3 linked regions of the Astyanax mexicanus genome follow. The protein of the gene in region 3 purifies or fractionates together with the protein of the main gene of each other region. This does not show direct contact. Links are inferred from orthologs where the notes say so. Each region holds a gene or a part of one and is shown on either strand. Other genes may lie near its edges. The genes, in order: mini-chromosome maintenance complex-binding protein, tonsl and mcm2.

Region 1 (10,559 bases), on a different chromosome or scaffold from region 3:
TGTAATCTTCAGACCTTAGAACTACTATCAGAATCCCCCCAGTAAGGGTTCTGTATTAAACCTATGATCAGTTTTATATGCGATTCCGCATCACTTTGCAGTTTAAACTTTGCAAAAGCAGGAACATGTGGGTGGAAACACAAGGCTTGACGGACCACGCAATTAATGGAACAACATGTTAAAGTCAGCAGATACAGAGAGGCAGACGTGCTGGTGTGTGCGTTTGTGTATGTTCAAGCACGGTGGTTCACTAGAGCAGACCACAGCTGCTGTAGCTGCCAAAAAGGATCAAACATTTGTTTTGGTTACCTGTGCATTAGTTGCAAGACACTTTTGACACCTGACGAGAAATTTTGTGCCGTTTTAATCTTGCGAGATCTCATGGCACAATCAATATACTCTGTGTATACTAAGTGTACTGATGCTAATTAATAATAACAATTACTGTCAGTTTTCTTAGACATGGATTAAGCCTAGTCACAGACTTTATAGTCCAAGACTGCACCACTGAAAACAGCTATTCAATAAAACAGCAATCTTACTTGTCTTCAGCTATCAGGCTCAGAGCAGGGTCGACTGAGAGAATGCCAAAAACCTCCAGCATGTCATTCAGTTTAAAGCCGTCCCATTCCTCATACACCTGCCAGTGTCACACAAGGGGTAGAAAACTTAATGATCATCAGGGTTTTTTTTTCAAGTATAATCAAAAAAGAAGATGTGTTATTTATAAGAATAATTGCATTGTATTGTTCAATTAGAAATACACACAGAACATAGATTTATTCATTCATTCATTCAAACATACAAAAACAAACTACCTTAACCAGGCAGGCTGGGCCTCGCTCTCCAGGCAGAGGGAAGTTGAGATCTAGGTTAGACGAGCAGTGTGAAGGAGAAGCATTGTGACTGGGAGCTTCTGTCTCCAGGCGTTTGGAATCCGTATTCCTATGGGTGTCCTCATTCTGAGTTCCTATTAAAAAAAGAAAAAGCAATGTAAGCATTGGGTGACTGTAGAAATATATATATATATATTTTTTACAGAGCAACCATTAAATCAATTCTGAGACACAGCATTACTGGTTGATTTAGCAATCTGACAGTTAAATCAAAGACTCAAATAATGAGCCTAGTCAAGAAAGCAGGAAAAATTATTGGCACCCCTGCCCCTCTTAGCCTGCAAGAGTTGTGAAAGTGGGGAATATGTAAGCTTTGATCATTGTATCTCACACTACACACGTGCTGTATCCATGTGTACCAGCTCATGAACTGAGGTAGAAGAAACAGCATCCCTTTGTGTAGGTATAAAAGCTACAAACATTCCTTTGTACCTTTGAGAGTAAAGATGTTAAATATCCACAATGTTGTGGGTCTGTGTAAAAGTATGAAAATGTAATGCACTGGGAAGTAATGATATGTTGGCCATGTGTTGTTTTTGTGTTGTGCCACAAGCCCTCTGTCCAAGAAAAAAATTCTCTTTTGGGAGACAAATAAAAGAACTTTGACATTGACTTTCGTAAAAGCAGAACATTATATATTCTTTTGCAGTGCCGTCAACATTTCTTTAATTTAAAAGCAAAAGTATCGTTTTTTTTTTTTTAATTGGCAATTATCCTCAAATATAAAACACAATCTTAATATTACCTGAGTTTAACTCTTTGTCTTGTTGTGGTTGTGTGTCCATGTCATCATCTTCCTCGTAACTGCGCTTGTGCCTGTTCGGGGTGTAGGATGTGGAGGGCACCACTCGAGCTTGGCTAGATCCAGCAAAACTGTACTCAACGGTTAAGCCAAACTTTCATACATGAGATTATGCCAGTCACAATTATTACATACCGGTAACTTGATTTGACAGAACCAGGGCTAATTTATGCTGATCAAGTTGTCAGATTAAAAAAATATATATCAATACATTTAAAAAATGTCAAAATTAGGCAAATACACTTAAATGAGGCCTTATTTGAGAGAAATCACAGATCTTATAAGGAAGAAGAAAACCTCTAAAACTTTAAACTTGCTAGAGCATGATATGCATTTATAGGTTAGGAAGCAAACAAACAAAATAGCAGGTTTAGGATGTATGCTAGCAGTAAGAGCAAAGATGTACACAATGATGTATACTCTATAATTGCAATAATATTTAAAGGACAATTACCGTCTAAACAATTCCATCTGCATGACTGGCATACACCAGATCACATTTCACAAGGTCATAAAGACCTTAATTTATGTTTTATGCAATGATCATTCAATTTACACCATTATGTTAGGGCAGCTTGATCCACAGATGAAGAGCTTTCTTCCGAAAGGATATTTCCTTCACCCACTGAGATTCTCCTGGGATAGGAACGCAGTAAAAGGTTTGTCTCTCTGAAGTAACAGCGTTTTTGGAGTTGAAATCAATCTGCTGTAAAGATAAACATGTTCCCCTTAGAACCATTGATTAAGGTTAAAGAGAGTGACTGACTTTCTGCATGAGAATAGGTGTTAAATGTTTGCAGAAATATTACTAGGTATAACTGCTAAATTAAATACTATTTGAAGCATATACTACACAGAAACAATCACTTTAACAGTAGACTAAGTGACCATGCAACAATCCATTCATAAATATTGAGAGAAAGATAGATACTCACGCCACAATCAGTAACATCTTTGTATTTTCCACATCTCAGCACCTGACAAATGAATAAAAAGAAAAAGCCAGATTTAATAAACATAAATTAACAAGGACCATATGCTCAATTTTAAACTATAATTTATTAATCATCTATATTAGATAAAATAAATATTATGTATTTAAACATACAAACTATTAACTGAATAATATGGCAACATGATTCACTGCAGCTCAATTTGTCATTTCTAAATGTATTTCAACATGAACACAATAACAATTATGCTGCACTCACATCAGACAACACGCTACAAATGCAGCCATTTGCCTGTTCAGGTGTATGCATTAGACCATTATAACCACCGTCTTACCAGGCAAAATCCATACCTGCTGCTTTATTAAATAACAAAAAAGGTACATAAAGCACAATTATAGAATTATGAGGAAAAAGTGACTGCCCTTGTACGCAAACAAACAAAATTGACAAAAAAAAATTCAATGAACTTAAGTGCTCACTAAAAGAAAATAAAAAATAAACTAATAACAGGGTGTTGAAAGAAGGATGGATGAAAGAAATTACACTAAATCTACTAATGCTAAATAGTAAGGTGTTTCGGCCAAAAAAACGATAAACTGACAATATTTTTGCCCACCTTTGAATTTGTTGAAGGGTCAACTGTCTCATAAACCCCCATAAAAAACTCTGGATCAAACATGTCCTGGATCATACAGCGGAACTTCACCAGACTGTTGGGCTTCAGATAGTGCAGGGGAACGTCATTCAGAGAGGGAACCTAAACATCACAAACAGTGTTTGGTTGGAGTGTCACAACCAAACAAACGTGTTACATACAAAAATAACTTAAAACAAGGTTATTTATATAACAAACCAGCAATTCAATCAAGATTACAGTTACAGTAGCAGTCAAAATTTTGGACACACCTTCGTATTTAATGTTTTTCGTTTATTTATTTTATACATTGTAGATCAATATTAAACACGTAAAAAAAATGAATTATCATCATCATTAGTAATATCTTCAATATTATCCCCACTAATATTATTGTTGACATTATTCTGATTATTATAATAATCATCATGATTATCAGCAATATTTTTAATATTATCTGCATCACTATAATTAATTTATCATCATCACTATTATTATTAATATTAATCAGATTATCCTGTGTCATTATTATTATTATTATTATTATTATTATTATATTATACTCATTATTTTAATAATAATTATTTTTTATCCTTCTTATTATTATTACTGATAATAATACAGATAATAATAATAATAATGGTAATGACGATGATACCATCAAAATTATCCGTAATATCTTCAGTATTATCTCCATCAATATTATTGTTGATAATATTCTGATTATTATAATAATCACCATGATTATCAGTAATATCTTCATCATCACTATTATTATTAATATTATTCAGATTATACTATGTCATTATTATTGTTTTTTATATTATACTCATTATTACTCATTATTATAATAATAATAAAAAAAATAATAATTATTATTATTATTGTTATTATCATCCATAATATCATCATCATCATCATCATCATCAATATTATCACCATCACTTATTAATAATATTATTCTGATTATTTCTACAATTACTCTGATTATTAATTTTTATCCTTCTTCTTATTATTATTATTACTGATAATACAGATAATAATAATGGTAATGACGATGATAACTATCATCATTATCAGTAATTTCTTCAGTATTATCACTATACCCATTATTATTAATATTATTCTGATTACTATTACTATTACTCGAATTTTGTTATGATGATGATGATGATATTATTACTATTATTGTCATTATTATTCTGATTGTTATGCTAATTATTATTGTTATTAGTAGTAGCAGTAGTAGTATTGTTATTACTATTATTATTATTGATTATTATTATTATTATTCCACATAGTCCGTGTTTATAAACAAAGTGCGTGATTAAAAAGTTACCCAGGACTGTGCATCGTTTACTTTCAGTTTCTCTTTGAAATACTCCACAATCTTCCTCTCCCAGTCTGACCTGGAACTGTTCTGAGCTGAAAAACACAGAATAACGTTACAGAAACACAGCTTTATAATCACAGCAGCAGCTCCTGTTTCATATCTAAACGCCTCTGTTAGCTGACCTAAATTAGCCCCATGCTGCCAGTCTGTAACAGAATTTAACAACTTTAATTAAACAACGAGGTATATATGGAAAATAACAGACACTTAATAATTCACACACACGAGCTGCTGTGCTTCAAGTGACCAGACTAGCTATTTAAATAAAGAGAATTATTCAGCTAGCTTAGGTGAGCCAACCTATCCATATGTTAGCTAGCATGCTGCCCAGGCTAACCCCACGTTTCAGCAGTCAGCAGTGAGACAGAGCCAGAGCCCTGCTGCTGTTAAACTGCAGCTCTTTACCGAACAGCGCGTCCACCGCGCCCAGCGGGCTGTTTATCCAGTCCTGAACTGAAGGCATGGCTGAAGCTCTTCCAGAAACTGCAGTAAGTCTCCTCGTTCTTAAAGTTAAACTACTTCAAAAAAGCCGTTTTCTTTTTTTGCAAACTCGTTTCCTCCGCTCCACACACACACTTCTTGGTGGCGGGAAAATTGCGTCACGAACAGCCTCATGTGACCGTGAGCGCGAGCTGTGACTAGAGAACCTCCAGAGAGGAGAAGACCCACTTAAACATCTCTACTCCACCAGGGGGCGCTCCCGAGAGAGACCAACAAAGAATGGATTCACATGGAGCAGTTGGGCAAAATCATAATTGATAAATGTTTGTTTATTATAAAATTATAAATATAGCAAATTACAAACGTACACCTATTTTTAGTTGTCCTAAAGCAGTAGTGTATGGCCCAGACAATCATGAGACCACAATAAGAGATTTTGCTATTTATAGGTAGATGTTTGAGTAAAATTAACATTGTTGTTTTATTCTATAAACTACAGAAAACATTTCTCCCAAATTCCAAATTTCAGAAATCCATATTTGGTGGAATAACCCTGGTTTTTAATCACAGTTTTCATGCATCTTGGCATGTTCTCCTCCACCAGGTTTTCTAACTGCTTTTGGATAACTTTATGCCAATCCTGGTGCCATAATTCCAGCAGTTCAGCTTGTTTTGACGCCTTGTGATCATCCATCTTCCTCTTGATTATATTCCAGATGTTTTCAACATCAAAGCATCACATCATTCTTAAGTGGTCTCTTATTTTATTTCAGAGCTGTATCTTTGCACCTTATCCTCACTAGCCTATTTCATTGAACCGTATCAGTACTGAACTGTGTGTTGTAAAAATACTGCAGTAGAGTGTGCAGTAACACAATCTGTTCCAATACTGCTTTACTATAGACAAAGGTTTGTTTATTTTTGTATAAAGCTCAGTTTATTTCCATTGCTACTTACCAGCTGTAAGCTGTTAACCAATTGTTGTTTTTTTTTGTTTGTTTGTTTTTGCTAAAAATCACAATTTTACCATTTAACACATTGGATTTGGTACCATTTCCGGTTATTGACTGGACCTGAAGACCTTAAATGGCAAATATAAAAAGGAAATTTAGTTGTTCTAAAATGTTTGACAGATAGTGTGAATGTAGGTTTTTGTTTGCTTTTTAGCAAAATACTTAAAGGAATGTCATGGACATGTTGTTAGACACTATTAAAAAATAATTAAACAATTAATTTTAATTTTTAAAATAAAAATTTCAGGAAAATACAGAAATATTTGAAGCAGACTTCACCTGTGTTCAGCTGTAATATGCTCTGTAAACTGAACTGAATCTGGTTTTCTTCTTGTTGAGCAGCTAGTCCCTAAGGCAGTGTATAAGTGTATGCTGTCACCACACCTACAGGTTGTATTGGATATTATAATAATGATCTATAAATCCCCTGCAGGGTTTTGCAGTCATTGTATGAGATGAATAGGAAAATATGGGGAAGTGGGCAGGCTCTTCATAAACCGGCTCTGTTCTGGCTCTGCGAGTATGTGAGAGTTGCCAGGTACTCTTTTTTTTCCCGGATTTCGTCAAATTGGGTTACTTTCTTATAGACATTGATTCACTGAATAATTGTACATATTATTATTATTATTATTATTATTATTATTATTATTATTATTATTATTATTATTATTTTATTATTTTATTATTTCTTTTTTTATTAGCAAAACTTAAAAAAGTAAGCCTCAGACGTCGTTTCACTTTTAACCTATACAAAATATATATAAATAAAATTTTACCTTTCAGATCAGTTTCATAATCTGATAAGCCAGTTTCCCGTTGCACTGCACAGTTTAAGTGAATCTGGCAACTGTAGTGTCTAGACCTCCGAAACGAATAGGCTTCTTAACAACAGATAACACAGGTATATTTTAGATGCACTTTTAACCCTTTGATGCACAACATGTGTCAACAATAGTGACCCAGCTGAGATTTAATGTTCTATATTTTTGCAAAAAATTAATTTAATCATTCAGAAATGCATGGTTTTATCAATTAATTTGTTTTTGATCATCATACATTCTTATTAGTGTAAAGTAATTATTGAAACTAAATTTTATAGAATTCAGTTTATATAGTATTCACTTTATTTTGGTTTTTTTTTTTTTTTTGGATGCCATCCAGAACAAACATACCCTAGGGTATGTTTTCTTTGGATGGCCAGCTGGTATAGAACTGGATTTTCTTAGTAGATTCAATGAGTCATTTTTAACCCATGTGTCTAAATTCGATTTAGTATTATGTTATACTGTTTTTGTTCATAAAGTATTTAAATAAAATAACAATAATAATAATTACCCCTAGTAAATAAATGTTACCAATAATTATTGTAAATAATTACTGTCTAATTGTGACTATTAAAGCACACAGTCACAGAACACTCGCTTCCCTTTAACTATCGGTTTATCGGTTATTTATTACTTTGGCCTAAAACGTCATATCGACTGAGTGGGGGAGGCAGTGGCTATAGATCTATATGTCGTAGGGATTGACTGAAGGAAGGCAGTCGCTGATTAATCGGTGACAAGGCGGATGATCTGAGAGTCAGTGAATATGTAAAACCCCCTAAGACTCCGGCTTGACGATCACGGAAACACTGAAATCTATTGCTCTGCGACTCCGGCAGTGGGAGCTACGTGTAACAGTGAGTGAAAATGGCTGAAAGGAAGAGCAACGTCCCCAATTCCAGCGCTAACCTGCTGTTTTCTACAGCCCCGGAGTTTAACTTCAACCTGCCGTTTATTCCTGTCAGCCAGGCGAGCGGCCCTGCTGTGCTGTCCGGAGGTGAGAGACTGTAGTGGGGTCAGAGAGAGAGAGAGAGAGAGAGAGAGAGAGAGAGAGGGGTATGCTAACATAGCTAGTTATCAGTGTTCAGGTCAGGGTGAGAGCTAACTGTTAGCCTCAGAGCTAATCTGACATTCGAGTTTGTTAACTAACCTAGTTTATCTGATCTTCTATAGCATGGCAGCAGCTGTCACTGTGCCAGTCTTACAGCTTTTGTACATGGTTACTGAATGTGTTTGTGTCTAAGGTAGTTTGTCTGTTTTCTGAGGGATTATAGTTAATAACGTAGGTTAGCTAACATAGCTAATGTTTATGTGTTCAGACATGGATCAGTCAATTCATCTAACATAGCTTGGTCAACTAGTTAGTGAGATTGCTGTTGGCCAGCTAGATTAGCTAATAGAAAACAATTAATCTGGACACTTCCTCTATTCATAATCTGCAGACACAGCTCCTACTATTTGAGCTTTTAGTTAAATGTGTGTTTCTACATTTCAAGTAAGAAGTAGCCAATTATCTTTTGTGTTCTCTTGTGTCCATTTAGCTAATTATACATAATGTTATATTTATCATTGTGCCAGTCATCATCACTTATCAAATGTATGGTTTTTAGGGCTGAAACTAATGAATGAATAATTAAATGATTAGTCAAGGATTATTTCCGCCATGACGTTCGTTCACTCCTGCTTCATGTGGGCACAGCTCTTGTTCCTAGCTTTTAAAATAATACAAACAGTGTGAATGTGGAATTAAAATTCAAATATTTAAATAGGGAAACTTGTAATATTTGGTGAGAGAATATCCAGCTGGCCATCAACGTTAGTAGACGTTAATTTCATGTTGAATGTTGGTCATGACGTCAGATTTTTTTTTTACGTCAGGATAACGTCTAATACTGTTACGTGTCTGCAGGGTATGTAATCTTTTGTGTCCCAGCTCTACTACTTCACTATTGTAGTTAAGTACTAAAATGCTGTATTTACTTGAGTATTTTTTTTATTCTACTTTCACTTTTACTTCACTACATATTTTAAGTTTAATACTTGTTATTTTTATGTGCTACATTGTTACTTGTTACAATTCTACAAAATGTTACAAATCATTCAAAACCCACATTATCACTAAAGCCAGAGCAAACTAAATGCTTTGCACTGTCATCGGGTTTGATAAAGCTGCTCATCATTGAGTGAATCAAGTGATTAAGCTGATGTTATAAGATGACCACACTGATCCTGTTCTGCTTTTCACAATGAGAACTTTCCACTACTTTCTGCTTTCTGCATAACACAGTACCGTACTTTTACTTTCAGTTCTTGAGTAGTACATTCTAGAATAGACTACAAAATCATTGCAAATACAATACAGTAGTTGCAAGCACAAAAAAATGTTGAATACTTAGTACTTCCACTTAAGTGTGGAGCTTGAAAAACATGTCAGTTTTCACTTTTTTTTCACTTTTTTTTTTTTTTAAGAGTACTTGTACTTGCATTTCTGTTCCAGATTTGTGTCTAGTGCTTTGCAGTTACAATTTTTTACGAGTTTTTATATGGTCATTAAAGTTTTTTGTATCCCTAATGCTTTTTCCTTACTTCCTTGTCTTTCCTGAAGATGATGCAAGTGAAGTCGGAGAAGAAGACAGTTTCCTTGGTCAGACCTCATCTACCGCTCCTCAGACCTCAACGTTCAACTATTTTTCTAGCTCTGCAAACAGTAGTGACCCATTTGCTTCAATAGGCCACCAGCAAAGCCTGCCCCCTGCACCTGCAGTTGTCTCAACAACTGGTCCCTCCCCTGTTTCCAGTGCTGCGAGCCTGCCAACAAACCCTCCAATTTCCCATGTTAATCCTACTCAGCAATATGGTAGTGCAGTTTACCAGAGTCCCATGGGCAGACACACTCCTCCACCCAACACGGCAATGCCTCCACCTCCCCAGACCACCCAGCAAAGCTATAATCCGTATCGTCACACAGCCTCAAGTAGCAAAGCAAGCCCTTATCTCATGGCTCCTGAGCTACAGCAGCAACCTCCCAATCAGTCACCTCAGCATTTCAACCCCTACACACAGGCCATGCCAACTCCTACGTTCCAAACAGCTCCTCCAACGCTTGCTAAGGTACGCACTTTTTGTTCGTTCCTGGGTTCTTTTGATTATGTTACAAAATATAAAAATGCATGAACATCAAGTGTGTTGTGCCTTTTTTTAGCCTCCCCTTACGCAGACTCCACCACCACCACCTATGTCGGGACCCAGCATGGCTGGACCTGTGGTTCCAGCCAACCCCATGATGCAATACTCTTATAATGTCTATGAGCCTGTCCAGCCTCACTGGTTTTATTGCAAACAAGTGGAGGCCAAGAAGGTGTGGCTTCCCTTCAGCATTCTGGATTCCCTTCGACTGGAGGAGACATTCAATTCTAGTAAGAAAGAAAGAATTTTAATATTTTAAATCATTTACTTTACTTGTTGCAGATTTTTCACAAATGTTTTGTGAGGGAAAACACGTGGCAGAAATGTATGACTGGTTTAAGAGTACAAATGTTATTTTGTGTATACATAACAGCATTTGTTGTGTAGTTGCATATACATAGATACTGTCGTGTCACT
Region 2 (11,245 bases), on a different chromosome or scaffold from region 3:
ATGTAAAAGAAAATGAATTAAACTCAAGATATGAGTAGAAAATTTGTTTAGTTTCAAATTTACAAATGAAGCAATGTTTATTAGCCCTTGGCCAAACATACTGTATGTAATATAAATGTGTGGGGGGAGGGGGGGTGTACAGTGTGTGTTTATCGAAAATGTGTTTTGATATATGCTTTTCACAAAAAATGAGCCAATGCCAATGAGTTTGAGTTAGAAAAAATATATTTTTTTGTATCATTTGATGAAAAATGAAAACGTGTCCCACAGACCCGAACACCACACAAGGGTTAAGCCATGAACCACATGCTGCAGACAATTAAAGGCTGCAAGGAGGAGAGTCTCACTCTGAGATGTAGATGCTCTGACGAATAAATTCATTGCAGCGCTGTGGGTCCTTCAAACCATCGCACACAAAGCCCAGATTCAGCAGCAGCCGTGCTCTCATCTCACTCCGTTCCCGAGCCGAGACTCTCCCTGAGACACATATACATATACAAGATGTACGCATCAGCCCCAAACACTGCAAAAAAACACAGTAATAGCCAGTAATATCAAATTTTATAATTAAATCTTATCAATATCAAAAGGTATTTAAAGAATGAACTGATATTACACTATATGTTATGACATTTTCTGAATGTTCAGAGTACAAATGTTAATGATGCTGGTTTACTATGCAAACAATTGTGATCTTTTACTGCTAGGCCTCTAAATGCACTGACATCTAAACTCTGCAGCTGTGGTGATCAGAATTTCTCCATGCTCGCACACAATAATACTGTTGGGTTGATTCTCCTCATCTGTTCTGTCTGCGTGTTGAATGTTTCTATATTCTTTGTACTTTGTATCTTGTATGTGATATGGTCTTCAACCAACCAAAACGGGCACATGTCACTCCGCTGCTCATTGAGCTCCACTGGCTACTGGCTACACTGGCTAAATTCAAAGCTCTTACAATCGCCTACAAGGTGATGACAGTACAGGCTCCTTCCTACCTGCACTCGCTCCTGAAGGCTTACGCTACCTCCCGGCCGCTGCGCTCCTCCAATGAACGTCGCCTCGCTTTGCCAAACACTCACACAAAGCAATCCAGACTGTTCTCATACAGAGTTCCCCAATGGTGGAACAAACTACCTTCCACTACCAGATCAGGAGAATCTCTCGCTATCTTTAATAAACTCCTGAAGACAGAGCTCTTCAAAGAGCACTTAATCTCCTAACACCTCTAACAAACTAACTAATTCTAACCTCATCTCCTTCTTCCTCTTCTCTACTCCTCTATCCCATTATTTCCCTCTGACCTCCTTAAGGCCCTATCTATAGATGCTTTATTTTTAACTTCTATTATTTTTGTACTTAACCTCTTCTATTATTTGCACTTCAATATTGTAAGTCGCTTTGGACAAAAGCGTCTGCCAAATGTAATGTAATGTAATGTAATGTAATGTAATGGGTTGATTCTCCTCTGTAAATGTTATTTCTGTATTCTGTGTGTTTAAATGTTTCTTCTGTGTTCATTTTTTTCTATTCTGTGCGTTTAAATGTATCCAATGTTTCCTAAGTGTCTTTAGGTTTTAGAAAAGTGCTATTACATTTACATTAAGGGTATTTAGCAGATGCCCATATCCACAGTGAAAGTATCCGTAGCTAGTTTGTAGGGACTAGAATCAGAAAGATACATTGATCTTGGATAATAAACAAGATATATACAAGCTATATAAAAATAAAAGTATTAAAATTATCATTTTCATTCAGATAATTTACTGCATTTCCATTCTCCTACATTCCTTTTTTTTAATTTTTCTTATACATATAACCATGGTCCACTTAGGACTAGTTTCAAGGTCTACATTTCTTAAATGTATTTAAATCAACATTAACAGGTAAATACACCAGCTCAAAACATCAGCTGAGAAATGTCCTGGGAATTTATTCTAACTTTTTTAGTACTCAGACGCAACTCCCCACTACTGTGTACGTGTCACCTGCTGACTTATTTTCCACTAGAGTTCATTAGGAAACAAGAACACCACCTTCCAGATGTTCGTTCACTATAGCCAGACTCTTCTTGAAAGCATCCTCTGCTTGCTTCAGGCTGTCCAGTGATTGGTCAGTGTCATGGAGAAAGAGGTAAGTCCGGCCAATGGTGGCCAGAGCTCTCTGTTCCTCTACTGCATCATTTACAGAGCAAGCCAGATCCAAATGCCGTCTCTGATACTGCAAAAAAAGAAACAGGTGTCTAAACCATGGAAACCTTAAATGTCTCTTTAATGTGAAAAGCAACTAACTGCTCTTTTCTTACTTTGAGAGCAGTTGCGATATTGCCAAGCTCTGCGTAACATTCTCCAATCTTCCGATTGGCTACAGCACAACCAATCACATCATGTAAAACCTGTGACAGGGCCAGCTCCTGCCGATGCTCCTCAATAGCAGCCTGGTAATCACCTGACAACACACAAAAGGAGTGAACAGCAGATTCTCAGGGAAATTGACACTGTGAGGAATCATTTAACTAAACTTTATCCTGGGTTTCTTACCACTTTTGGCTAAGACTTCTCCGAGCTGATTGCAGAGGCTAGCTTCCTCCTTCAGATTACTGCTGCTCTGAGCTTTACTTTTGGCTTTCTGCAGTTCTGTGTAAACACAATAAGGACATTTTATTTTAATCTAAAATGTTGAGGAGGTTGTGGTCCAACCTGACGAGAACAACAGGAAGACACTGGAAATGTAGTTAGCTAGCTAGCAATTACTTACCTCTCTAAAACACCAGTAAAGTTAATTTATTTAATGCCATCGGTCACAATATTAAAACATATTTAAAACATTGTCAGTTATATGGCTCTAAAATTTTTACTTAATGATGAATCAGTGCATTCCCACCAAATTACATTTTCTGACAGTACGAAATTATATCATTTCGACCGAAATTAAGGAATATATCAAGAAATAAATTTTGGCCATATTGTCCAGCACTAATTTAGACAAATACCTACAGCGTTAAAAAAAAGAAAAAAAAAAAGAAAAGGTTTTAGGATATACTTTAAGTATGTGCTTTAATCATATATATCTGTTTTTTTTAGTTTTGTCATTTGTCATACAGTATGTCATCACTGTCACATGACTACTGCATATATGTTAGTGCATCTCAAAAAAATTGATCAATGAAAAGTTACTTTATTTCAGTAATTCAGTCAAAAATATGAAACTCATTATATAGACGTCTTACACACAGAGTGATCTATTTTAGGCGTTTATTTCTTTTATTATTAATGACTATGGCTTACAGCCAATGAAAACACAGACGTAAAAACGTAAAACATTAAGCATAAACAGAAAATATATATAACCGAGTTAGTTACTGTAACATTAATTATTCTGCATATATACCAAGTAACGTTATACCATTATAAACAATATACATTTTTAGAATTCTTTTTTGAGCTCTGTTCGAAAATAGTGATAACTAGCCTGGGGTTAGTAAACTATTTAACTTAATAACTCTATTATTCCACGGGTCACAACAACTGAGACCGACCATAAAACTCATTTTTCCACCTGTTTATTTAAGACTTTTTTAAAGTAGTAACCTTCATTTCAAAAGGTTGATAATGAGAGGTGATTTTAATATTTTCGTGTCTGGGATTAGATGGATCAAAATAACGTAACAGTTATCTGATTGCGAAAAATAAATGATACCCCAGCTAACGTTATATGCCTGTGTTAGAAAACAGTGAATACAATAAAACAGCTGTCATAGGGCTAGGCTATAATAACAATATTATTTTTATACGGTTAGCTAAATAGTTAGCCAGGCTAGCTGAATAAGTAAGTTAAATGAATGCTATTTACTAAGGAGCTAGACAACAGCAGGCAGGATAGCTTAAAGCTAGTTATAGTATAACTAGTTATATACAGTCTAATTAGCAGTTTTTATCTGATTAAGACAATAATCTACCTAGTTTAAATAGTATGAAACTTTACTCACGTCTGATCTCCTTCGCTGAACTCATTGTCCCTGGTTACGCAGCGGATATCTGCTAGTTCGCTAGCAGGAATCGCAAGTCAATAATACTGAAAAAAATCAGTGACAAAACAGAGCGGAAACAGGATCTCGCATATTAAATAAACACCACGATCCTCCACCGATCTCCAGACATGTACTAGTGTCAGTTCTGACAGCGATCCATCGCTCTAAAACTAAAACAATACTCAAAAAGTTACCGTCGCTCTTAGCTGGCTAACTAACTACACAAGCTACATCTCCTGTTCCCAATACCGCGCCAAGAGCTCTGCTGCCCGCTGATTGGCTACTGCAGCAGACCGGCAGTAAAAGATCAAGCTCCGCCTACTGAGGTCCACATTGTAAAGCCATATTGGTAAGGTCGTTTCAGCTCCTAATACTCACACAAACATTGAAGTCTGATTTTAAAGAAAAAGCATGTATTAATTTTACTATGGTTATTACTGTTACTGTTTTCCAATGCATAAGTAAAATGTAACATCTAATTGAAATATATTTAAAAAAATGTAAAAGAAAAGTGTCTTAAACAGAAAAGTCATATCATATCATATGAAGTAATGGTAAGAGGAGTAGTCAACAGATTCACAGACAAATTATATTTGTATTGGGTATTCGATTTATACTCAGACATCCCATATATATACCTAAACATGCCTTTTGCAATCATTTAGTCCCCCATTACAGTTATAACAAACTGTACAGCAAGCAAGATTTTTTACATTTTTTTTTATTATTATTTTACAAGACATGGATATACTTTAGAGTAGTAGAGCCATGATGCTTCTTCTTCACTGAATCCCATCCAGGAGGGGGAAAAAAACACTGCCCACCCACACTAAAAACTGATTGGCTGACTCACAGACTCTTTGTAGAATCCTCTTTGTCTTGCATGCACTTCATGAGTATGCACACAAGGGAAGAGACTTTCTCTCCCTTTGCCTTCCTTTCACACTTGCGTTTGGGAAAAAAAAGTCTCTGTCGCCTGCGTATGTGTTTTTGTTCACTCTTGGGCCACTCGTTGTAGATTTAAGGAGATTTTTTTCTGACTTGCGGGCATCAGGGAGCCGGTATTGATATGCAGTAGACTCCTGCAACTTCCGGGAGACTTGGGAAGTCTTTACTATGCTCAAAGCCATTTGTCATATCTGCTATGGACTAGCTCACAACAACACAAGTAAAATTAAATAAACCAAGACACAGAACTTTTAAAATAATGTCCATTTTTTTTAATAATCTTAACAAGTCAGCAAACACACTCATACAAAAACACTGCAAGCTGTACAAGCCTCTAAAGGAACTGTTTACCAGAATAATCAAATGTACTCAGTTCTTTCCATGATCAAAAATAACAAAAGTCCCCCAAACACAAATTGTATAAAAATGACTTTTCAGTGAATCCTTCCTTTAAACAGAGCATAACCCTGAACACTGCCTTAATATTGCACATATTTATTGTTTATTTATGTTTAAAGACTGTGAGCTTTTAGCTAAATCAACCAATGTGACCTTAGTTGTACACCACTAAATCGGTCAAGTGCCCTTTCTCTCACCCCACCAAAAACAAAAAACAGGTAGTTTTGTTGGTTTATTTGAAAATTTTAGAAAATATTTACTATACATTTTTTTAAATATAGAATATTTTGAACAAAATGTATTTTCTGTTGCTAATGGTTAAAAAAAAAAGTAATGTGTCACAATGTCTGGATGAAGATGTTGTGAGTGAGAGGACAAGGCACTGCTTGTTATGATATGTATTCACATTTTCAGGTTTGAATGAATAAGGCCCATTCCATAAGGCTCCTCGTTCTTTCAGCACGCAGCCTGAATGAGTTACAGGGAGGGTAGCACCAGTCAGTTCGGAAATTTGCACAAATGTACAATTCACATTGATGGTCCTGGTTCTTCGCTTTCTGCTGGTGGGGTGAGCTGATCCAGAAGTTCCAAATAGAGGGCAATCCGCTCGATCAGGGAGGTGTTCTTTTCCGCTCGCAAGAGTCGAGAATACACCTGCTTGTACACCTTCACCTGCTCCTCTTCTTTAGCACTGTTTAACACACATACACAAACAGATCAACCATGTATAAAGAGTTACACTATATTGCCGAAAGCATCCACTTGCCTAAATTGCATTTGGTGATGTAAGGATGGGATGGAGCTGCTCGGCCATGGAAACCCATTCCTCTACACTCTACTGATCTTGAGCTAGTCTGAAGCCTGAGGTCTGTAGTGATTGACTCTGCAGTAAGTTGGTGACCTCTACACACTAGAGCCTCAGCATCTGCTGACCCCACAAAGTCATTTTATGTTGACATAGCGAGCAACTTTCATTCCCAGTCACTTCCACTACGTTAGCACTGACAGTTGAGTGTGGAATATTTAGCAGTGAGGAAATCTATCACAGTGCCAGACTGGAATTCCCAGAGATCCTAATAGCGACACATTCTTTCACCAATGTTTGCAGACAAACCCTATTAATATGTCCTGTCTAATCACTTAATTAACAATTAATTTATTATGCCTTATTTTAAAGCATAACCTAATTTCCGGGCCATCTTAAAGTAAAGTCATGATCAGTACAGTGATGGCGGCACCCAGAGATTAGGTCATGCTACGGGTTGTGAACAGTGGTTTTTAATAAGCTTCTTGTGCACTTTTAAAGTTATTAATGCCTCATTTTAATGTCAGGGCTCTCCGGATTCTATCAATAAGGTGTGGAGCTACTTTGAGCTTGTAAAACGATGTAAAAAGTGATTTATCTGCAGGGGCAAAATATGCCCAATATCATTTATTCTAAAGCATGTTTGGAGACACTGCAAAAAATTACTGGATCTCAGAAAGATGAGGGAGAACAGATGTGGGTTATTCAACAAAGGTCAAATGTTCAGGTCAAAAGTCAATTTTACACCAGAGTACATAAATCTCATTTTCACCTGGGTTTCCGTTTACTTGTGGCACTGAGTTTGACCAGCTGCAGGAGCAGGAAGGAGAAACTGGGCTCAAAGACACCAATCAGCTTCAGCACCTCCTGTGTGTTCAGGCCTGAGGAGGCAGAGCTATCACACCCCGCACCGGCTTCATCAGGATTGTCTGTGTCTTCTATTGCGACTGCCTGCGAACATATTAATAATCATTAACCTTTCAAAACAGTAAGATAATAAGGTCTCATTTTTGGCATGCCTCTCTGTATACCTCTTTCTGCTCTTGCTCCTGTAGCTCCTTATGGATTAACCTGAAGGCATGGCGTGTTTCATTCATGATCTCTAAAGCACCTGTTAGGGTTTTTAATTTCACAGCACTACTACTCTGCCCTGAAAAACACAGAAATAGCAACATTAACACAAGTTTAAACACAAAAAGACAGACATTTGAATGTGCAAAAATACATCACACACATGCGCAATAAAGACTACCGACTACTGTGTGAGACTGACCTGCCATGGTAAACTCAGCAAAGGCTACTCTCTCAAGCAGCGTGCGAAGAAGCTCACATGGTGCGTCACTCAGACTGAGAAACAACCGGACAGCTTTGGAGTAATGGAGCTCTGCTAGAGACCTATGCTGCTTCCGTAAACTCTCATCACCCACCTGCAGAAGGCACAGAGTCGAGGTAAATGTGAGTGTCTGTACTGATATGCAAGGGCATATGACTATGGAAATGGAAACATGGAAATGAACAAGAGGATGTGTTTACCTGGTTACGGTAGCAGCTGTGGTACATGGAGGCAAGTCTGTGGTGAATGGTAGCTGCTCTGTACTGGTAGAGCGGCTGACGAGCAGACTCTGTCTGGAGGTCACAGTATCGCAGAGATTTCATCATGGCATCCGTCACTTCCCTTTCGATCTAAAGTGAAAAGTTAGAATGGAAAATCTTTTGTGAAAAGCTTGATTTAAATGTTATAAGTTTAACTAGCATTCATGGTTTAGTAATAGTATATTCCGATTACAGTAAGGTGGCCTAAGCCCAATACCATTTCCCACTTGGCCCTACCTAAGAAAATCACTAGCAAGATAGCAGCAAAGAAACCCACAAATTTGAGTATTTTCTTTGTTACGATATCACGATGTGTACAATAAATTTGATAACCACTATATTACCATAGTTTAATGTGTAGATTCAATGTTTTATGGCCATTTTCTTTATAACAGGCATAAAAAAACAGCTATTAGTTAGTCTAAGTAGCTTAGTAGCCACCTTAAATGGTTCAACAGTCGGAGGAGACTGCATAATTAAAGATGAAGAGGAAAATTACAATAAAATAATAGCTAATAAAAGCAGAAACAATAATTGCTACACAATCGGCCCTCTTTCTAAAGACATAGGATGCCCTAAATTTAACTAATTAACCAGCAACTAGGTTGTTTAACTTTAGCACATCACTGTTTTATATCTGTATAGGGTGCATGAATGGTTGTCCCAATTCTTATTGGAGAGGATTTCAACCCTTTCACATGTAACTCTGTTCCAAGGGGACGAGTTACACACTCAAAAACAAGGGGTAGGGGAGCAAAAGAGAAATGGGATTGTGCTTTAGTCTGTGTGTGCACAAGCGTGTGCACAAGCGTGTGCATTACCTGTTCTTGAGCTTTTCGGGATAGTGGAGCATAGTCCTGCAGTAATGTGGCCAGGGTGAAATACGTGGTGGAAAGCTCCCAGTTAACAGAGTCCCATACTGCTTCATGGCTCTCTCTGCTGCCCAGGCATTTCATGGCCCTCTGATAGTAATCTACAGCCTAAACACAGGTAGAAGGATATGATTATAGTACGCTAAATGAGATTTAAAAAAATAAAAAAATAAATAGTAATAATAATAATAATAATATTTTATGATTACATAAAAATATACTGTATTGATCTGTAAATGCACTGTGACTAATCAAACAATTTATACACAAGATAAGACAAATATGTTATATACATTTTACACTGCTCAGTTTAAAACTAATCAGTTTTACAACTGGTGCATAGTTAGTTTGTGCATGAGTACCTTGTTGTAATATAGAGCCTCTTCTGGAGAAAACTCTCCTCTGCTCTCCTCAGAGGTCATGGCGCAGTGGGCCTGGGCACAGATGCGCATCAGTCTGCCGATGTTACACAGCAGCAGAGCTTTATTCACAGAGTCAGAAATGGCCTCAAAGTTCTGCATACCCTTCTCAAAATACGAAAAGCTTTTCTTCCACAGTTCTTGCTCTGCTGCACAAACCGACCTCCGCACTGCAAGAGAGAGAGGAAAGGACAGAAAATAGAGTAAAATTTTAAATATACTACCACTGTGTGATCTGTAAATACAAGCTACCTGGGTTGAAATCTAGAAATCTAGAATCTAGCACTCACCCCCTTCTTTCTCTGTCTGCAAAGCTGCAGCCTGGTTCATGTAGAACACACCCATCTCATTGCGGATGTTGCCAAGCCGCTTCAGAACTTGTGCCTGCTGCTCCTGGCCCAGGTCCTTCAGAGCCTCAGAGGTCAAAAGGTCATGGGCAGCCTCATAACACTTACTACTGACAAACAGCTGGTACTCTGGGTCAGTGGCTAGATCAGTGGCCACGTTGAATGCTGGAGAAATAATACACACAGATCATTACAACAGTGGATAAAAGCAAAAAGACTAAACAACACTCTTATTTAGGAATTATGATAGAAATTTATTTGATACATAAAACATGACTGACACCAGTAAATGATGCAAGGAACTGTAAACGTTTGTCTGAAATTTAAATCGAAAAATATAAATCAATTTGGCTTTTGGATTTTAAGGTCATGTTTTTCATTCATTTTGGACCTGTTGTAACCATTGCATAAATAAAATCTTGAAAATTATCTTGCTTTTAAGCAAATTTACAAAACTACAATTTTAAATATTTATTAAACAATGAACATTTTCATATCCACCAGGCATATTAAAAACGTTTTTTTTACTACATAATTTAGGTCTCTGAATATTCAGTGCATCCTAAGATACTATAATACAATGTGCAGACAATGTGTACATTGTTAAAGATGGAATGCATTAGAGTTATAGCTGAGAGACCTTGGCAGGAGCTCTCCCGGTGCAGACAATGAAGGATCTCCTGGTCGTCTCTGGTCTGATAGCTGTACTCTTCCAGATAGGCAGCTCTGTTTGAGGCATTCTGCGCCAGCATTAGCTGTATGTCTCCACACAGAGACAAACACTGACTGTGGAACAACAAGACACGTGGGTACAGTCCACTGCATATAGCACAATATGCATCTACACAAAGCAAGAAAAAAAGAAAGAGAAAACACAACAACATTAGAATAAAAGATGTTAAAACGTTTTTTTCTGCATTTTTAGTTTTTGACATGGCTTTTTAAAAGTAATCAAAAATCAACTATATGCTGGTATTCATCAGTCTATTCTCTGTTGCTGAGGTCTTCTCACCATGACACTGCAGGGCCAGTTTGATGTACCGCAGGGCACGGCCATACTTCAACAGGTTGGTGGCAGCCTCGGCCAGTACATAGTAGGCTTTTGAGGCTTTTAGGAAAAGCTGCAGCTTCATCTGGTGTTGCCAGGAGCCAGGCAGCATGCCCGAGCGCATGGGTAACTTGAGGCCCTCACCACAAGGGGCAGCTATGGAGCAGAACAACAAAAGGAGTTAAGGCAGGAACAGATTTGGCCAAAAATTGATTGATTTGTGGGGGGTCTGAATCTGACCTCTGTCAAGCAGAAGGGCAATCTCTTTCTCCACTGCTCTGGCTCCACTCTCCTCATATTTCAGAGGAATGGGTGTATTGGGGTCAGCTGCTGGCAAATCACTTTCCTTCTTTATGCTGCTATCCACTGCCTTCAGGCCCTAAAGCACACAGAAGGAAAGTCTGTCAATTTCTCAACATCACTTTTTAACCAATACATTTCCATGATATTTTCATGACTTTTCTAAGGCAAATTTCCATGACAATAAGATTTTTAAAACATCAGTACAGACATGGAGAGTAAAACCAAAAATCAACTAAAACTATAATTGAAATAGATTATAGTAGGTCTAAAATTAATCATAAAATTGTCACACACAATCTTTAATAATAAAATGTGTGTCAGATCCTGAGAAATCCATGGTGTAGGGCTAAATTACTGAATTACCTCAGAGCTGACGTATTTTTGATAGCTCAAAATAGATTTTTTCCAGATTTTTCATGACCATATGAACCCTGGTTTATAGAAATATGAAAGTCAGTGCATATGCTTACCTTTAGGACGT
Region 3 (10,754 bases):
ATTTCTTTGTGCACTGATTTGCTATGAAAAACAGAACATAGAAAATGAGAATACCTCCTCTACACAAGTAGCTTACCTTTACACATATCGCTGATCCTCTCTTTAAACACGTTGTGCCCGTGCTCGTCCACGTGTGTGCGCAGGAAGTTCTTGAAGCGGTGGTAGATCTCCAGACGAGGAGCAGCCATGGACACCCACTCTCTCACCGTGTGTCCCTTCATATCCTCCAGGTTCTCAATGCTCTCGATCATCTCCTCGTCCTCACCTTCGGCCCCGGCGCCCTCAGCCGCTCGCTCAGCCAGACGCCTGCGCCTCTTAGACGGCCGCTCGTCATCCTCATCTTCACTGTCTGTGTTAACAAAAGCACAGAGAACACATTCAGACGTGATATACTAGCAGAACTGCACATGTTAAAGATACATACTGTACAAAAAGCTTGAGAGTTATCAGTTATAATCAGACATTGTAATTAATAGAATTTGTATAACATGTTTTAAATGTACAGCTCTGGAAAAAATGAAGAGAGCACTTCAGTTTCTGAATCAGTTTCTCTGATTTTGCTATTTATAGGTTTATGTTTGAGTAAAATGAACATTGTTGTTTTATTCTATAAACTACAGACAACATTTCTCCCAAATTACAAATAAAAATATTCTCATTTAGAGCATTTATTTGCAGAAAGTGAAAAATGACTGAAATAAAAATAATGCAGAGCTTTCAGACCTCAAATAATGCAAAGAAAATTTTAAGAGTTCAGAAATCAATATCTGGTGGAATAACCCTGGTTTTTGGTCACAGATTTTTTAATAATGCATCTTGGCATCTTGTTCTCCTCCACCAGTCTTACACACTGCTTTTGGATAACTTTATGCTGCTTTACTCCTGGTGTAAAAATTCAAGCAGTTCAGTTTGGTGGTTTGATGGCTTGTGATCATCCATCTTCCTCTTGATTATATTCAAGATATTTTCAATTTGGTAAAATTAAAGAAACTCAGTTTAAGTGCTCTTGTTTATTTTCCAGACCTGTGTATGTACTAGAAGTAACTGAACGCACCATACAGCAGGCCTCTTCCCATGCGGCCCATGCCTTGATCTCGGTCTCGGCGCCTCATGGCCTCCTCTGCAGCCGCACGAGCTCCAGGAGAGAGCTCACTCAGGTCCTCTTCATCATCCAGACCCTCCTCTTCATACCGATCCAGCTCTGGGATGGCACGGTAGTCCCTGAAAAGAGCAAAATATGAGATTAACATGTGACAGTATGTGGTGCTGCTGGGCTAACATTCAGAAACTAACTTGAAACATTCTAAAACCAGTTTTCTATACCTACTTTGAGCTGGTGTTTCACTAAAAACAAAACATCCTCTTTGACTGAGGCTTGGAGAATATCAGAAATATTCTTTCAGAATTAATATATTAGCATATTTTCAATGTCTGTTTTATAATTACTGCTTTAACTGCAGAAAACAAATAATATTTTACACACGTGTGGTAATATCGTTGAGGTCACTGTGATTCAGTTTTAAAATCTCTCTAAAACCTTCCTTTCACTTAAGGCCCTAACTTAGCAACACAAACAATATATACTTACACAATACTTCAATAATACTTAATGTAAATAATACTAAAATATAATACTTAAAATAATACCAGAACCACTAATAATTCATCAAATAAACATAAAATAACTGGGGCATACACTTCGCCAACATGTTTAAATGTTTAAAACTTTACGAAAGTAAATTTCTGGAATCATATTGGCCAAGAATGAAGTGCATTTAGCAAGAGGAATTTCATTACATCTCCATCCCGTTCCCAATGAGCTCTTCTCCATCTCCTTCCTCCTCCTCCTCATTAGGGATGTTGTCCCCCAGCAGACCCTCGGACTCGTCCTCGAAAGGAGGCAGGTCTCTCCCCGGGCTGGAGGTCAGGTCCCCCCTCCGAGAGCCACGGCTGGGGCTGGTCGCCATGTGAAAAGACTCGGATGAATCCTGGAGTATAAAAAGAATGAAAAGAAAAGTTAGAAAATTACAATTCAAGGTCGTAAATAGCGCCAGTTTGAACCATCTGTTCTAGAATTGTATAAGCAATTTACCCACCAGACATGATTCCAGCATCACTGTAAATCCTAATTTTAAATATACATTTAGCGAAGTAAGATATTAAACTGGAAAATTGCTCCGCAGGACTTCAGTGAATCATTTTTCACTACAGCATAAATTAAACAAACTAAACATTATTTGGTCTTGCTTTTCAAAGAAATGCAGTTATAAAACTAAAACATAACATTTCTTGAATACTAAATATTTACAATTCCAACAGACAAAGCACAATATGCTATAATTATGCTGAAATTACCATTTCAATTTATTTTGTTTTCCATTTTTAAATAATAAACATATATTTAAGTTACAAATATATATGTTATAAGTATTCTTAATAATGCATGTGCTTTATTGATAGAAAAAAAGTTTTTTTATAACTTTGGAACGTAGTTTTATGAGCAAGAAGCAATGTGACTTTTTAAGACTTTTCCGTTCCACCTTAAAAATGTTACACGACTTAGCTAGCTAACCTACAGAGAATCTGGCTCGGTGCCCCAGAGCACTGCTGTATTTAAGGTGGAACGAAAGAATTCAATACAGAAGCTACGGACAATTTTATCAATAACGAATTGGATTACGTGAGCCATCGTTACCAACATGTAGGTATTAAAACTGCTCTATTATCAGCTTTTAGTATATTTTAATACTAAATCCTTCCCGCCAGTAACGTTATAGCTACTTTAGCTTAGCTAGCTAACTTAAACTGAGGAAACAGGCAGCTCTCTGGCTAGCCTGTTGTAGCTGCAAATACAAACACACTGCCTGAGAGAAAAACTTAATATTTTGTTGTACAGACACTTGAAAGGCGCCTAAATAAAATTATTCACCTCAGATTCGCCTCATATTTTGCTTCAGGGCTGCGTAATAAGGTTGATTAAGTAATAAACACTCGATTTAGCCCACAATGCTAACCAGCAGGAGCTTCAACAAAGACTGAACTTCTGCCCAACGTGGTCCTTCACTAGAGTACTAACTTTACGACAGACAGACAGAACAATACAGCAAAATATTAAGTTTCTCTCACTTAAACACATTTAACTTACTGGCGTCTAAATATCTAAAGTTAGATATTTTTAAGTAATACAATCAAGTTATTTATTTTAAAAATGTCAAAGTTAAAATTAAAAATTAAAAAGTTAAAGTTAAAATGTAGTTACAGCATCCGTATAAATAACTAGCGTTTTAACCATTCCCTTAAAAAGAACAGCTGTACAACAATAATAACAGTAATATCTAGTTATAGATAACGTTAAAACAAGATGATATATTTTAAATGTTAAGATAAGATAAAACAATGCCTTTATTAATCCCACAGCGGGTAAATATTGTGACCCATGTTAGCAGGTTAACAGCAGGAGTAACAGAAGACAATTAATGTTTTGATAATTATACAATAATTATTTTTAAAAATCTATTCGTAAAAAACGTATACGTATATATAACGTGTACGTATATCTTATGGTAAGCAGTCACCAATGTTATTGAACACAGGCTGACAGATTATTACAAAATGCCTCCATTCAGTTACATTAACTACGCACATTTGTTTATATCTAACTTACGAACTAGTGACCTATATAGTTATATATTTATAATTTACAATAGATCAAATCATATATATTTTTTAACATTTGGCCTTGTAAAATGCTATTATGTGCACTTGTTACTGCATTTCTATAAAAGACAACAACTTCAACCAAATCTATCAGATTTGTCTCTCAAAATAACCAGTATTATGACATTCTTCAATTATAATACATGTCTACATATAATCAGTTTAACAGTATCAGCCTCGTTTCAGACTATTTCCTTTAATACACTTTATTAAAATAATAAATAACAATCTTTAACTCACCGCCATCGTGCTGGTTTGATGTATACACGCCTGTTCTGCTCACTCTCCGGCTACTTTCCCCTGCAAGCCGAAGTTTTCGCGCGAAACTTCCCACGTGACCACAAAGCGCGGGAAAGCTTATGAATATGTATAGCTAAGGATTCTCCGCGAGTTCTAATTGGTCTGTCCGCAAGAGCGCCACGCCCCCCTGTGCTGTACTTCTACACAGATTCAATGCAGTATTTGACAAAGCGCGGGAAAGCTTATGAATATGTATAGCTACAGAGTCTCCGCGAGTTCTAATTGGTCCGTCGGCTAAAGAGCCACGCCTCCCTGTGCTGTACTCCTGCACACATTCAGCGCCGCATATGACAAAGCGCGGGAAAGCTCATGAATATGATCACATGACGAGTTTCCGCTGCTCTAATTTGCCGTTGGTTGGAGATGTAAGTCCACGCCCCCGGATCTGTAATTCCGCTGGGGGTCACTGTAGGATATTTTATAGAATAAAAGCACATTGTCGTTTTGTACTGACAGTACAGAGGAATAAATAAATTAATAAAATAAAACACACAATTAAAGTGTTTATTTTTAGGTCATAGTCTGGCCTTATAGCTCGGTAATATTTTTATAACATTTATCTTAAAATGATTTAAATAAACTTTTCCCTTTTCCCACGCGCTCGTAAAGGAGAAATCCAATGTGAAACGGACTTGTGTTGCAGTAAAACATGATAACCAGTACACCCTTTTGTCCAATAGTCCTCCTCCATTCTCCCCCAGCATTAAAAAAAAATAAAGTACTTTTAGCTGATGTTCCCAACAAGCTTACAATGCTAGCGATGGGGGTATACAGTTACCCATCAAAGTAGCACCACACTTCATTGGTAGAATTTCGAGGGCCTTACAAATAAAATGAGTGTTGCAGATAAGGAAAGCCATATATTTGCAAGGCAGGGGAAACAGAATTAAAGAACCCTGCTCTGGAGTGATGAAACTCCATCAAATATATATTTGGAATGAGTTGTAGTGTGAGTTTCTATCTTTATTTACGTTTTTTTTAGGCAAATACAATAAAATCCTCACTGAAATATTCAATATTCATCATACAACCTTCTTATTAGAGTAGAATCTGCTTTTAGCTAACAGGAATGCTCATATAGGTCGTATTTCTTATTCAGAAAGTTGAGATCGCCAACTTTAAATTCCAATATGGCTGCCCCCACATAAACAGTAGTAGTAGAAGCAGCAGTATGATATAGTTTATTATCATGTCTATCCCTTAGTGTTTTGTTAAATTAGTCATACACACAGTACTGTGTACAGCACCAACTTCTACCTGTGGTAATGGTGTTTCCATGCTGTTTGGATATGCAAAATAGTGTATAATGCTTTTTTTAATCAATAGGTATCAATGGTAGCAAACTAAATCTGACTTCTGAGGTTAACAGAATGAGGATAATACCCTTGCTTTCATAAGATGCACTAAAAGAGCAGGTAAGTGTTTCTTAAGAACATATTTAAACAATATTATTAAACAAGCAGCAGATCATTTAGAACATTTTAATCAGTGTTTATCCATCAGTGCATTAAGCCATGATATAATTCCAATGGTCTCCTATAAAATCTGAGGTTATTCTTGTCGGTCATTGGCCCCTTAACTGCACACGATCTACCTACACTAGTATCCAGTACCCTGTACCCTATTATGAAGCTTTAAAGATGACGTACAGCACTGGCATAGTTAAAGCAAAAGCAGTGTAGGTCAGAACTGTGGTGTACAGAGTAGTCTTATTGATCTGAGCCTCCAGTCTCTTCTCCGTCTGGTCCAGTCCCTGGATGATGCTCTCTGTATCACACACCAGCAGCTGCGTATCTTTAGTCTGAATGACTGGCTTCTCAACAGGACGATTCAACACAGATTTCCTCACGGCGTGAAGCTCTGTCGCCACCTTCCCCACGCTCTGCTCCAGCTGATGCAGCTGGGGCTTGAGATCTTCCATGAGAGCCTGAGCTTTCTGGCTGTGGAGGAGGATCTCCTTCACGGCTTCTTCTGAGGCACCGTGTGTAGACGGAGGGGTTGAAACGGGCACTGCTGCTGGCACTAAGACGGACCTTGGCTTGACTTTTTGTGCCTCGACTCCTCCACCTTTCACAGCTGCCCTAAACGTATCTATGAGGCCACGGAGTTCCTCCTGCTGGTTCTTGTGTAAACTGGCTTGGATCTTGATAGCTTCCTGTAGACTCGCCGGTCCCTTCTGAGCTTCTAGCAGCAGGCCTTTCAGTTCTTGAAGGCGTACCCGGTTTACGTAAGTGGACCCCATTACCCCAATGATGGCACCCAGCACCGAACCAATTACGGACCAGTTCTTGGTTCGCTCGGCCCGAGATCGCTCCTTCTCGTGGCTCTCTCGCACACCAGCCGAGAAGAGCGCAAATTTCTCTCGTTCGCACTCCTCCGCATTCTCGTAGGTTGTTTTCAGACGACGCTCTTCCTGCAGAGACAAAGAAGTTAGTGAGTGGATGGTTTAAGTAAATTAGAACCTCTTATCATGTTATTAGTAAGGATGCACAGAATATTTGGCAACTAAAATACATTTTCTGGAAATTACAACAAACCTGCAGTAGCTTGTGTTCCAGTGTTGCCAGTTCTAGATAATGTGCCTCCTCTCGTGATACACGGTCCAGGCGATCTCTGACTTCCTTCAATCTAACTTGAAGAGCCTCCAAACTGACGTGAGCCTCACGGACCATTCCTCTGGCTACCATGAACGCCTTCTCTGCCTTTAGACAGGATGAAAGATACAAGGATTACACAAACATAAAAAGATGATTAAGTCTAAAGAAGTGCTCTTCAGCATTTAGAAAGCTATAATATAAAGCGCTGGGAAAAAAATAAGAGACCACTAAAAATTATGAGTTTCTTGGTTCTTGATTTTACCAAATTAAAAACCTCTGGAATACAATCAAGAGGAAGATGGATGATCATAAGCCATCACCAATATGGCTTTTTGCACCAGGAGTGGCATAAAGTTATCCAAAAGCAGTGTGTAAGACTGGTGCTGCTCACCTCTGTAACTTTGCTCTGAGCATCTCGAACTTCATTGAGACCCACAAACTCCTCGTACTTCGCCCACCAGTAATTGACGGTAGTGCTCATGGTCCTCACAGAATTCTGTCCCCACTGTTTCCCAAGCTTTGCCACATTCTTCAGGGCGGCCGAGGCACGGTCCTGAGACGACACGGCCTTATCAGCCTTGTCCTCTGGGTTCTGCTTCGGGGAACAGTAGGTTCTGTTGATGGAGATGTTCCACTGGACTCTGCCAGGGACTTTGAGAAGGTAGAAGCAAGTTCCATAGCTCCTTGGTAGGACACAGCTTGCTCTGTACCTCATTGACTTGCTTTCATTTGGGCAGGAAACACACCTTAATCTGGCAACCTGTGGGAAACAATGTAAACAATGTAAACAGTGTAAAATGTTCTAAGGTGAGAGAACCGTGAGTATGGTAAAGGCAATTGGACCATTTTTAACTTCTTCAACATCTTCAGTGATGAAAAAATGTAAAAATGCTGTTTTCTGTCTGTAATGCACAGAAAAGAAGGCTCTAATAATCTATTATAAATTCTATTGTATTGGAAGCATGTGTGTAATATTTTACATTTGATGTTCACACTTTTATTTTCTAAACCTTCCATAAACTGGAAAAAAACATAATTAAAAAGTATTCTGAATCACATTAAATTAGTATAAAATAGCTGTTACTTTGCATAAATGGATCTAGGTACTATTCTACTGTTTTTCCAGTCTAGTGTATGGGGCAATGTTACCGTTTCATTGGTTCATAAACTTGTTCATTTGCTGGTTCGTGATCTATTCTGATAGACAGCAGCTCTCAAATAGTGTTATATACAACAAAACATTTAAAAATAAAAATATATAATACATGATGTCTATTATACTAGATGAAGGTTCTAAAAGGGTTAATTAAATTAGAATAAGATAGTAAATTGATCTCATTTCTCAGTGTTTTTTAATGAAATCAGTCAGCAGCAAGAATAAACACACATGAAAATAATGATAATATAATTGCAATATAATCTACTTTAATATACATAACCATTCAACACCATTCACTTTCACTTTACACAAGCTATCCTATATAATATATAGCAAAAATAGAATAAAATATTAAATATCTGCCTATATAACATGACATTTTAAAGCTATAAGAGTTTAAACACTTAAGCACTGAAGTTGCCATATATCAGATGTCAATAATTCACCCGGCAGCTCACTATTAGCCAGCTAGCTAATTAGTTAGCTAGGTTAGCTAGCTAGCTTCAAATTCATTTATATATATTAAAACACAGTTATCTAGTTATCTAACACACTAGTTACCAAACCTACCTACCAGATACCGTCTCTGTTAGTTAGTCCTGTCTGCCTTCGAGCGAAACCCTGAGCATTTTAAATACAAAACCAGCCTGTTATGAACTAATATCAGACAGACAGAGGTGAGTTAGCTTTGAGCAGTTAGTTAGTTATCTGTATGAAAGTCATGCTAAGCTAACATTTTCTTCAGGCACATTTCCAGGCTCCCCGGCCCGCTTCAGAAAGCCCCAGAAAGTCTTCAGGTGGTTTGTCAGACACTAGAGGGCGCTCGACAGGAAGACCAAAATGAATGGGTTCATATGGAGAAATTAAGCAAAATTAGTTTATAGAGTTTATAAATGTTTTATACTCAAAAAATGTTAAATTTTCCTCAACACAGAACAATAATAATAATAATTGTAATATTTTAAACTATACATATAAGCCCTTTAAACTGCAGCTGCAGTAAACACAATTGCAGTAACTTTAAATTTCTACATTTTTAATTTAGAAACATTTGGGTATGGAGGACAAAAAATGAAAGTATGAATAAATAAATGCACATATAAATGATTGAATAAATACGTATCTATATAAATACTGAATAATTGTATAGAAATAGAAATAAATTAATAAATACATTTTGTAAAATGAAAAGGTACACACTTAAAATTATATCAGGAATTTATTTTCATGCATGAACCTTTATTTGGGGCTGTTTCTGCAGCATGTCTATACAGTATTTGTTTCTTTATTTGGATATTTATTTATATGTGCATTTATTTATTTATACATATGTCATTTTTCGTCCGCCATATTATATATTTGGGGACAAAATGTTGGCTTTTTTATATTACAATATGGCTTTTTTTTTTTTTTCAAATTTTAGGTTTGACATCACTAGTTCGTGTGTTTTGACATGCTCTCCTCCACCAGTCTTTCACACTGCTTTTGTGTGACCTTATGCTGCTTTTGGCGAAAAAATCCTAGCAGTTCGAAGCAGTTCAGCTTTGTTAAATGGCTTGAGACCATCCACCTTTCTCTTGATTACATTCCAGATGTTTTAAATTAAAACTGTGAATAAAAATTTAAAAAAAGATTATTCCAACAAATATTAATATCTACCGGTAATCTCTAATCTAAAAACATTAGTATTATTATAGTGTTGTTTCTAAATGAATATTCAATGTTGCTCTGCATCTTTTTCCTCACCTTATTTTGACTATTTTAATTTTTCTGTAAATAATGGCTCTAAATGAAAATATTTTTGTTTGTTTTATTATTAGTATAAAACAACAATGCTCATTTTACTCAAACATAAACCTATAAAAAATAAAATCGGAAAGAATTATCATTTTAAGGTGGTATTAATATTTTTCTGCAGCTGTATTCGAATCAATGACAGTTACGCTAAGCTAACATTTGCGTCAGGCACGTATCCGGGCACATCTACCCGCTTCTGAAAGCCTCTGGGGTCCTGACAGAAGCAGCCTCGCTCCTCACGTTAGCACACTTCGCTAAGCAGCTAACGCTAAACCTACAGAACTACAGCAGCATGTCTGGAAGAGAAGGTAAGAGACTGAGGGGTTTTAAACGCTGTATTTGGGGGTAAAGAGAGGAAAAAATCGTTAATTATATTATTTTTATTAATATTAATCGTTTAAATGTCTATAAAAGCCGCTGCGGAGCTGCGATATTAGGCCAGGCTAAGCTAAACTAGGCTAATCTGGGCGGGCTGGAGATTAAACCCGTATTACAGAAGCGTAGAGAGGATTAATAATAATTATAACTGTTTAAATGTAATGTTTTTGTAGCTTAGAAATGAATAAAATCAGTTAAAAAGCAAAAAAAGGGGAAGTTAACAGTAACTTAGCGTGCCTGAGTGTAACTGTAAAACAGATATTTTACTTTAGCTAAGCTACAGTAACTAGTAACGTTAAATACAATTACAGACATTTACATGGGTTTAAAATGTTTTTTTAAATGTTTATTTAATATTTACGTTTAGTGTAATAAACCCTGTCTGAATTTGGACTGTGATAAGGATATTTAGCTAGCTTATTTAGCTGCTGTTTTATGCTGCAGTAATGCTGAGTAATAATATTGATTTATATATTTTATGTAATTTTGTTCTGTGGTAGTATTGTAGTTATGTCACAGTGTAACCTATGTATTGCATTGGATATCTAAGGTAACATTAGAAAAATAAATGGTGAAATGGTGCTGCAAAAAAAAAAAGTGTGAATTAGGGCTGCAGGATATTGGAAAAAAAATCTGTTATGCTGTGCAGTAAGTAAGTCATGGCACAAAGATGTCAACGATATTAATAAAGTTATTTGTGCACAAATAAATAAAATAAAAGGTATTGGGTAGTTCTGGTATAGTGTCATCTTTCTATTAAAACCTCTTAACAGGACAGAATTTATGTCAATTGTCTGCCTGACAAT

The links.
Region 1: the proteins of mcm2 (region 3) and mini-chromosome maintenance complex-binding protein purify together in Homo sapiens (co-immunoprecipitation; 6 studies listed by BioGRID and IntAct, with this or other methods). This does not show direct contact. The link is inferred for Astyanax mexicanus from reciprocal best matches to the Homo sapiens genes MCM2 and MCMBP.
Region 2: the proteins of mcm2 (region 3) and tonsl purify together in Homo sapiens (affinity purification with mass spectrometry; 4 studies listed by BioGRID and IntAct, with this or other methods). This does not show direct contact. The link is inferred for Astyanax mexicanus from reciprocal best matches to the Homo sapiens genes MCM2 and TONSL.

The regions. Positions count from the first base shown.
Region 1 is NC_064414.1:37,674,758-37,685,316, reverse strand, and holds the start of mini-chromosome maintenance complex-binding protein, read right to left. Parts: upstream 5,289-10,559; 5' UTR 5,142-5,288; coding exon 5,084-5,141; intron 4,711-5,083; coding exon 4,625-4,710; intron 3,409-4,624; coding exon 3,268-3,408; intron 2,676-3,267; coding exon 2,634-2,675; intron 2,405-2,633; coding exon 2,312-2,404; intron 1,772-2,311; coding exon 1,642-1,771; intron 971-1,641; coding exon 819-970; intron 641-818; coding exon 543-640; intron 1-542. Other genes in the region: SEC23-interacting protein, read left to right, coding at 7,824-7,953, 9,562-10,067, 10,159-10,372. UniProt on the Homo sapiens protein: Associated component of the MCM complex that acts as a regulator of DNA replication.
Region 2 is NC_064421.1:19,731,967-19,743,211, forward strand, and holds the start of tonsl (tonsoku-like protein), read right to left. Parts: upstream 4,290-11,245; 5' UTR 4,014-4,289; coding exon 3,989-4,013; intron 2,637-3,988; coding exon 2,541-2,636; intron 2,449-2,540; coding exon 2,306-2,448; intron 2,221-2,305; coding exon 2,037-2,220; intron 478-2,036; coding exon 348-477; intron 1-347. Other genes in the region: edrf1 (erythroid differentiation-related factor 1), read right to left, coding at 5,906-6,068, 6,955-7,133, 7,214-7,332, 7,456-7,609, 7,716-7,865, 8,597-8,755, 9,010-9,236, 9,357-9,578 and 4 more. UniProt on the Homo sapiens protein: Component of the MMS22L-TONSL complex, a complex that promotes homologous recombination-mediated repair of double-strand breaks (DSBs) at stalled or collapsed replication forks.
Region 3 is NC_064431.1:666,264-677,017, reverse strand, and holds the start of mcm2 (DNA replication licensing factor MCM2), read right to left. Parts: upstream 4,104-10,754; 5' UTR 3,964-4,103; coding exon 3,958-3,963; intron 3,065-3,957; exon of another isoform or gene 2,930-3,064; intron 1,989-2,929; coding exon 1,798-1,988; intron 1,222-1,797; coding exon 1,055-1,221; intron 350-1,054; coding exon 77-349; intron 1-76. Other genes in the region: ccdc51 (mitochondrial potassium channel), read right to left, coding at 5,642-6,430, 6,555-6,719, 7,006-7,329; tma7 (translation machinery-associated protein 7), read left to right, coding at 9,863-9,878. UniProt on the Homo sapiens protein: Acts as a component of the MCM2-7 complex (MCM complex) which is the replicative helicase essential for 'once per cell cycle' DNA replication initiation and elongation in eukaryotic cells.